2 linked regions of the Solanum lycopersicum genome follow. The protein of the gene in region 1 binds, or shares a complex with, the protein of each later gene. Links are inferred from orthologs where the notes say so. Each region holds a gene or a part of one and is shown on either strand. Other genes may lie near its edges.

Region 1 (4,221 bases):
AGCAATATTGAGTATACAAGGAACGGGTGGCAAAGGTGGTAAACATGTAGTAGATAATTGCTTTTGACAGATTAGCCTGACTTGAGGGAAATCCTTAACTAAATCAACAAAACACATAATGAAACAAATTAAAAGACGAGATTGGAGGTTTTACAAAGAGCACTATCAATTACTTCAGTTATTAAGTTAGAATAGCCTAAAATAGTCAAAGTTATAAAAATTAGACATGGCAAGGCCTAATCAGTATGAAAGGCCTAAGAAAAGTAAGAACTTATTTTTTGACACACAACTCTAGGTGTGAGTATCAAGGTTCAGCATTATATAATGCGAATGGATACAAGTTACGCCAAAAATAAAGGACAGTTATGAATCATCTTAGTAATACCAACAACTTGACATTGAAGAAAATACTTAATCAAACGCCATGCATAAGGGAAAGTGAAGACTACTCAAGAGCCACACTGAGACTAGAGAGTCAAGGCACTGACATTCTCTTCAAATCAAAGGAAGAATAGCCCTTTGACTCGAGGGCCTTTTTACCTCCTTAGTATGAACTTTCCAAATCCTCCTCCTTTTAAAATAAGTTTCCTGCTAGGGGAAGGTTAGGAAAGGACAGATTTTATATCCGCTGATTCGGTTTATGATGGCATAAGGAGCATTTGTTCGAGTGAGAGCTCCTAGAATGTTCATTTTGCAGTAAGAAACTTCTTGACAGACGTTACACCTGGTTGGATGCTTGAGCACATTTCTCTCATATCGATCAAGGCTTTCCTTTTAGTTTAAATAAGGGGGTAACAGTCTTCGGATTATAGAGGAAGATAAAAATGTTGAGGATTTCAGAATATTGCAAATAAGAAAATAAGAATTTCAAGATATTTGCCTTGATGTCATATAACTATGCATAGCTTTATTTCTTAGTGCAATATATTGATCATTTGTAATAAATTTCTTTAGATTAATCATCAGTACAGTTTGAGTATGCATACACATATGTCCACCAGATGCAGATAAGACTTTTTATCATCCTATGAAAATCTGCCTCTGCAATGACACAACCAAAAGAAAAACAAACATGCTTGTAAACAAAGATACACACAGTGCACCCAAGTGAGTGGCGTAGTTGTTAATGGAGTTGGTTGAGAACCATAATGTCTCCTGTTCAATATTCATTTATCCAAGCCTTTCTGGATAGAGTTATCCGCTCAGCAGCGCATTTACTATTTGGAGATGGATGACACCAGGCAGGGCAGAAAAAAGAGTTTGTATTCCATTAGTTGAGGAATGAAGTAGCAAAGGAATATCCAACACAAGTGTTGGCAGGAAGAAGCAGGTACCCGTGGAATTAAGTACATGACAGTGTTATCAAATCAAAAAAACTCTGAGGACCATTGGGACTAAGCATAAAACGTGAATAAAGCATGATCTTTAATATAAAAAGGAGCAAAGGGAGAAATACAAATACATATGTTTGTTTAGTCTAAGAATAATAATTGTAAGCATGAATGACAAATATATGAACAAAGAAATTATTTTTTTTACTATTAAGTGAAATATCAATTGTTTAGTGTTGCCTAAAGAGACTCAAAAGAATGCCTAAGAAACTTGATGACGACCCTGAAGAGCACATTAAGCAAGACAAAGCGCTCAACACATTTTGAACCTCGCTTATGCACAGCTTTGACAACACTACTGCATGCAAGGTGCCCCGAACACAAATATAAAAAAGAACACATAGTCAAGTTAAAGCTATAAATTTTATAACACTTATCCATAGACTTTTAAATGGTAAACTATAACACTGCAGATGGACACAGAAACAAACAACAAAACAAGGAAAAACAAAATCCAACTCAAACTAAGGGGTCATTTGGTACTAGGGATGAGATAGACAAAGTTATCCCATTGATTAGTATATCCCGAGGAATTAGTTATCCCGCCATATATATATGAGATAACTTATCCTATCATTATCTTATAAAAATGACAAGATAGATATTCAGGGACTAACTAATACCCCTAACCAAAGGCAATCCAACATTTTATCCCGAGATTATTATCTCTTATCCCTTGTACCAAACGACCCCTGTGATAATATAATTATGTTGAAGCAATGTTAACAAATTACCTCCAGCAATTCCTCTCAACTTAGGAAGTCTCCTATAGAGAGGCATTTGACCCCCTTCAAACCCCTTTCTAACTCCAGGTCCAGACCTTGATTTTTGACCTCTCATACCAAAACCACAACTACCCCCTTGTCCAGCTGAATGCCCTCTACCTTTCCTCTTCCTATTCTTGGTAGCCCCAGGTTGAGGACCCAAGTTATTAAGCCGAAAACGAACACTCCCAGTTGCAGAATCAGCACCAAAACTTGCAGTTTGGTTGAAAACAACAAATGGGGTTCTTGTTATTGACTTAGATTTCAAATTGCAGACCTTTATTAAAGGCAAAAGCTTCGAACTTGACTTCAAATTACTTACATTACCCTGAAAAAAATTGATGGGGATAAATGAGAATTGTATAATTTTGACAGAAATTGAAAAATTAAAGAGGAGAAATTGTACCTTGAATGATGAAGAAAACTGGGTAATGATTGAATTTGTTCTTGTAGGTGATGCAGAGGAGATGGAGAGTAGAGACGCCATTGTTGATAAGGGAGAACTCAGGATTGTGTTCACTGTCCAAGCAAAAAGTGTTTTGACAAATTTTAACGGATAGGGGTGGTTATTTCAGGGACTTTCTTTTCTACTTTTTAAATTAGTTTACGAGTCTATTATCAGGTGTTCGATATTTAATTCGATATGTGTGTATTACACTTCATTTTGAGGATCGTGGTCTTTTTTGCTTCCAACATGATGTTTGATATTAGTAATAGGCTTAAATAAAATTTGAATTCACACACGACTGGGCACATTTTTAGAGGGGACTTTCCTAACTGATTTTTTTCATTTATGGGATTGAATTTGAAACATATGATTAAGAAAGAGAGATCTAAACGCTCGCTACAAGTCATATTAATTACTAACATGTTTGATTACTTAGTCATTGATAAATTCTATACGAGGGTTATTAGTAATTCGTCAACTTCTTTTTTAGATAGTAATCTTTCTTTTCTTCCTCTTTCGTCATGCTATACTCCGATGAGGATTACTCTTATAATGTTCTGCTTAAGAAAATTTAAAAGAATCTCCTTAATCCTGTCTTACTCCGCCCAAATTTCTGTATACATTCATTAATCAGCAAATTATAAAAATGACTACATTTATAGGATTTATCAAAGTTCAATAGCTACAAGTATGTTATTTATAAAAAATGAATACAATTTATATCTTTTTCTAGCTGTATTAATTCTTTAAATATTATTATTTTTCTATTTATACAGTAATACAAGTTTAATTACAACAAACTAAATAAGGAAAATGTATTAATTGTGTACAGTTAGTATATGAATACTTTGAATTCAAATTAGTATCTATATTTATAAAACGTAAAGTGTATATATATATATATATATATATATATATATATATATATATCAATGATACAAGTTTTTGTAAGAATTTAATGTATCAATATATATATCAAACAAGTTAAAGTATGACAATTAGCATATGAACACGGCTATTTGAAAAATGAATACATTATTGTTGTTCAAAAAATGAATGCAATATAGTATACATATGAATACATTGTGTTACTAAATCAAAGATGGATAAATTGGACAACGTAGAAACAAAAAAATAGAAAATAATAGAATGTGTCGGTATCAAAGTATATAAGAATTCGCCTGTATAAAAAATTGATAAATAACAATTGCCAATCTCTTTTTGGTAAGTGATCCTGTAATACATGAAGCTTGGTGTTAACTTAGGTATTTATAAAAATATAGTATTAATGTATCCAATTGTACTTGTATTGCCTAATCAATCTTGTAAATTGGATAAATTACTTATGTATCCAGATATATTTGTATTTGTAAATCACCATTTTCAACGAGTGTTAATATTATAATACAAATATCTATGTATATAAGTATTCTATTTTATATATATATATATATATATATATATACACACAAATTTGACAATCACACAAACCTCCATCTCTTTTTACTCATGTTCTTCCTCCTGTACTATTTTTAAAAAAAATATAACTATAGTCATTGCAATGGAGAAAACAAGATAATTCTTAACCAGAATCCTTTAAAAATAAATGAAAATATAG
Region 2 (4,229 bases), on another chromosome or scaffold:
TGATAACCAGTAATGCCCATTATTCTTATCCGAGTAATTGGCTGCATGATTACAGAAACCGAATTAGTTTGGCATAAGCAAGGGCAAGTTATGATATTCTGCACAAATATCATTTTAAGGGGCATGTCTCATACATGGCTGTAAGCTCACTGATTTAGACAGTTTTCATGTTTGCATGGTAATTATTTGCAGACATAGTTAAAACTATGATAGACTACGGTGCGCCTTGCTTTAAGGGCAAACAGATAGGTTAAAAAAGTTCAAACTACTTTATAGTTATTCAGATATCACTAAAAACAGTTCTTTGATACCTGTCTGTGACCAATATTCCTTCTGTAGTTCTTTTTCTTCTTATACTTGAAGACGATAACCTTCTTATCTTTCAACTGCATGGAAATGTAATAATGAGCCAACAGATATGTCAAGTAAACAAGATATACTCAGTGGAAACTACAGCAGAGGAAGAATGATGTCTGACCTGCTCTTCAACAACAGCGTGGACTGTTGCATTTGGCACCACTGGTTTTCCAACCCAAGTACTTGTTTTTGTTCCCACAAGTAACACCTTGTTTAGGATAATCTGCAGAAGCAACAAGTATAGATGCTTCAACAATGATCCTCATTGTGGAAATTTTGAAATAAGAGTATTGCCAATATGGCAAGAAAACCTTGACATACACATATAACCCTTATATCAAGTGTTAGCTTCCGTGGAAAATAACTGGTGAAGACAATGTATTAAAGATAATAGAAATAGGACAAGCAAATGTCACTATTGGTTGAAATTGATGCCTTTTGACATAATTGAGAAATTGCTGCAAGCAAGTTCTTTTTGATTGGACACCACAATGTTGATATGAGATAGCGAGACAAGGAAAAAGAAAAACAACTCACGTAACTAAAGCCAAAGCCACAGAGAGGTAACCAGATTTTGGGAAATCAATTGTAAATTAAGACCAAAAATGCTCACTTTGTCATTGACATTTGCACCTTTAAGCCTCTGGGTGTAGATATACCGCCCAGGAAAAACAATATATTGCCGAGATCCAACCTATGAAAGCGAAAGAGCAAAAATGAACAAACAGCTTAACGTATTAAAGACAAGCCCCATAGAGTTATATTAGGGTAGTGTCACATTCATCTGAAAAAAAGAAAAAAGAACAAAATAAAGCACAAAATTTGACACCTAGAGGACTTGAAAATTGTTAGCAGCAGGAATAATGATCAGATTGAAATAGCAGCTATAATCTCCTCGCAAGAGTGAGTATTTTCCACATGGAAAAGAAAAAATATTCATCAAATAAGTAGTAAACATGAATGTTTTCTCCGGTTAAATACAATAGTTCACAATTCACATTAAATAAAAGATGAAAGTGTAGAATATGGCAACCTCAAAATCAAATTTCAACAATTACTAGACTTTTGCTTAAATGTTTGCATGGACTTGTAGATATGTATTCCCTCTGACAACTGTATAACACCTAAAGTTAGAACTAAATGATAGTTATCAGTTATTTATTAGTTATATTACTTCTAATCTGCCATATGAACCCCTTTGCAACTTAACTAGAGGAAACGCCTACCGAAAATAGATGGCCCACTTGTAAAACGAAATTAAACTAAAACCAAAGAGAACATAGACTGAGATTTTTGAAATTGGATGGTGTCCAGAACACAGGTAAGGATATACCAAGTACTAAATCTTCGTCATGTCTTCATAATAATTATAGTTTTCTGTTAACATCAGCCAACTCTACTGGAGAATACTAAGCATATAAAAAGTTCAGTTCAGCTTATTTAGCACGGACTATTTTAACATTTCCAATAGCCACCACCACTGCCAAGTCAATATGACACAAACATATAGACATGTGTATTGTTCCTTTAAGACACCCTAAAACAGAATGCTAAACCTAAGCATCACAGAATGGCATTGACGTATAAATAACAGAACGAAAGAATTTCATTGTAACACTCCCTATTTTCACCACATACACCATAGGAAGCAGTAATGTATCAACAGTACTAGCAAACACGAAATATGAACTAAGTGAGTGAGGTGTGGTGGAACATTCTTCATGAAAACAAATTTTTGGAACTTCTAATCCGTTTGACATAAAGGAAGTTTTCGTTCTAGTGGCAAAGGTTAATTCGAGAAATTGCTTCAATAATAGGTCTGAGTAATTTTGAATTCCCCTTATTAAAATTCCGACTGCTTTTGTGATATCAAAGGTTGAGCACATGACAATCTTGAACCAAAGTTGTGATCTCTATACAACAAAGTAACATTCCCTTAGAGGGAATAGATCAATTTCCTATTTCCTTCGAGAAAAAAATTCAAGGTAACAGACAACTGAAACATTTTCCGCTGAATTTTCAAATTTTCATTTGGGACCTCATAATTTTTTCAATAAAAATCTAAATTGTACCCTCACATTGATTTCGAAATTGAAAACAAACAGATATGTCTACACAAATTTAAACATGAATGGAAGTGAGTCGTCACCATAACAACAGCAAAGATTTCTTCCCGTTTTGGTTCCAAGCTAGTGGCTTCCACAACAGGCTCTTCTTGGTCAGCTTCAACTTCAGCTACTGGAGCTTCAGATTCTGAGTATTTGGGTACAAAAGAGGATAAAGAATTGGGCTTGGAGAAACGGAGATTGAGAGAGGAAAATGAGTGAGATAGAAAAGTAACATTGGAATTTGCTTTGGGAACAGAAAGGGTGTTAAGAAAAGTTTGGTTCTTGGAAAGTGCTGTTGAGGGGGAAGATGTAGAACACAGGGAAAGGGTTGCCATTGTTAGAGAGTGAGAGGTTTTTTTTGGGTATTCTCTGTCTCTCTCTCAATTTTATCTGTTGAAGCCTATCCTATCTGCAGTGGTAGCCAAATGACTATTTTACCCCGAAATCCTTTATTTATTTTTTTAAAAATAATTGTATTAGAAATAGTATAAATTTACATATTCTCGTAACATAATACTCCCTTCGTTTCAAAAAGAACGTCTCTATTTCCTTTTTTAGTCTGTTTCAAAACAAAAAACTCATTTCCTTTTTTCATAATATTTTAACTTGAACTTTCCACGTGACATGTTTAAGACCACAAGATTAAAGGATATTTTGGTACATTTGACATAACTTTAATTTAGAATCACAAGATTAAAAAATTTTTTTTTCTTCTTAAATTCTGTTTCAAGGCAAGCTAGACCATCCTTTTTGAAATGGAGAGATTAACAAATATTCTAAATTATATAATAGGTCATTTACTCTTGAAGCCATCATTGTTTAATTTTGACTCGAGGTTAGTTATGTAAAGCCTCCCATCTACTTTTTGCAATTACATATACATTATATTTAATTTTCATAGTGCTAGTACTATTTTTGATATGTTTTATTTAATTTGAGGCTCTTAAAAAATAATTATTCTATCTTTAAAACGTAGAAGTAAGATTACAAATACGTGGTAAGAAGAGTAAAATAAGAACAAAAGTAATGCCATTTGTTATGTTAAAAATCAAGCCCGCAAAATTGGAAGGAAAAAAAAATAAATCAAAAAAATTACACAAATAAAAGAAGACTGAAATTTATTTTAGTGTTTAATATATGACAAAATGATCTTAAAAGGTACTCAATTTCCAGTAACATCAAATTAATATAGACATAAAGAAGGTTTTTACAACACTTCTCAGGTACAAACAACTGTAATATTTTAGAATTTATGAACTAGAGGAAAAACCCTCAAATTATATAAGATAAAGTAGCAAAAGTAGGAGTAACGTTTGTTTACATCCCACCCTCTCCAGATCTCGCTCGTGGAAAGATACTGGGCATGCTGTTGCTGAGAGTAGCAACAACTGAAATTTTGCTACTATAGCACTAAATCTATCTACCATCACAAAATAATAGAGCACCAATATATGCTGGTAATAGCCCAACATTGTCTTGGCAAACACAGCTCTACTTGACCCCTCTCGTCCGGTTGAAAGCCTCCTTGAACTCCTCTGGTTATTGGTTGGTCCAACGTATTCTATCAGCTTGGTCTGGTAAACAATCATGCTAGAATTAGAGAGTTAGATACCAAACAATCTAAATATAATGTTGGTATAATACATTTCCTAATAATATGCATTTTTTGATATATTATAGAAGTAGAAACCTTCTATTCTTTTTTCTCACTGTCACTTGCTCCAAGTGCATCAGCCAAGTTAAAATTCAAATTGCCTCTCATTG

What was found. Proteins that work in one complex are often made in the same cells at the same time.
Region 2: large ribosomal subunit protein uL15c (region 1) and large ribosomal subunit protein bL21c share a complex: the UniProt entries of both Arabidopsis thaliana proteins name them as parts of the 50S ribosomal subunit. The link is inferred for Solanum lycopersicum from reciprocal best matches to the Arabidopsis thaliana genes RPL15 and RPL21C.

What each region holds. Positions count from the first base shown.
Region 1 is NC_090804.1:3,795,282-3,799,502, forward strand, and holds the start of large ribosomal subunit protein uL15c, read right to left. Parts: upstream 2,836-4,221; 5' UTR 2,643-2,835; coding exon 2,562-2,642; intron 2,484-2,561; coding exon 2,126-2,483; intron 1-2,125.
Region 2 is NC_090805.1:43,261,585-43,265,813, reverse strand, and holds the start of large ribosomal subunit protein bL21c, read right to left. Parts: upstream 2,924-4,229; 5' UTR 2,801-2,923; coding exon 2,507-2,800; intron 1,052-2,506; coding exon 971-1,051; intron 581-970; coding exon 479-580; intron 387-478; coding exon 312-386; intron 42-311; coding exon 1-41. Other genes in the region: calcium-dependent protein kinase 11, read right to left, coding at 4,159-4,229. UniProt on the Arabidopsis thaliana protein: This protein binds to 23S ribosomal RNA in the presence of protein L20.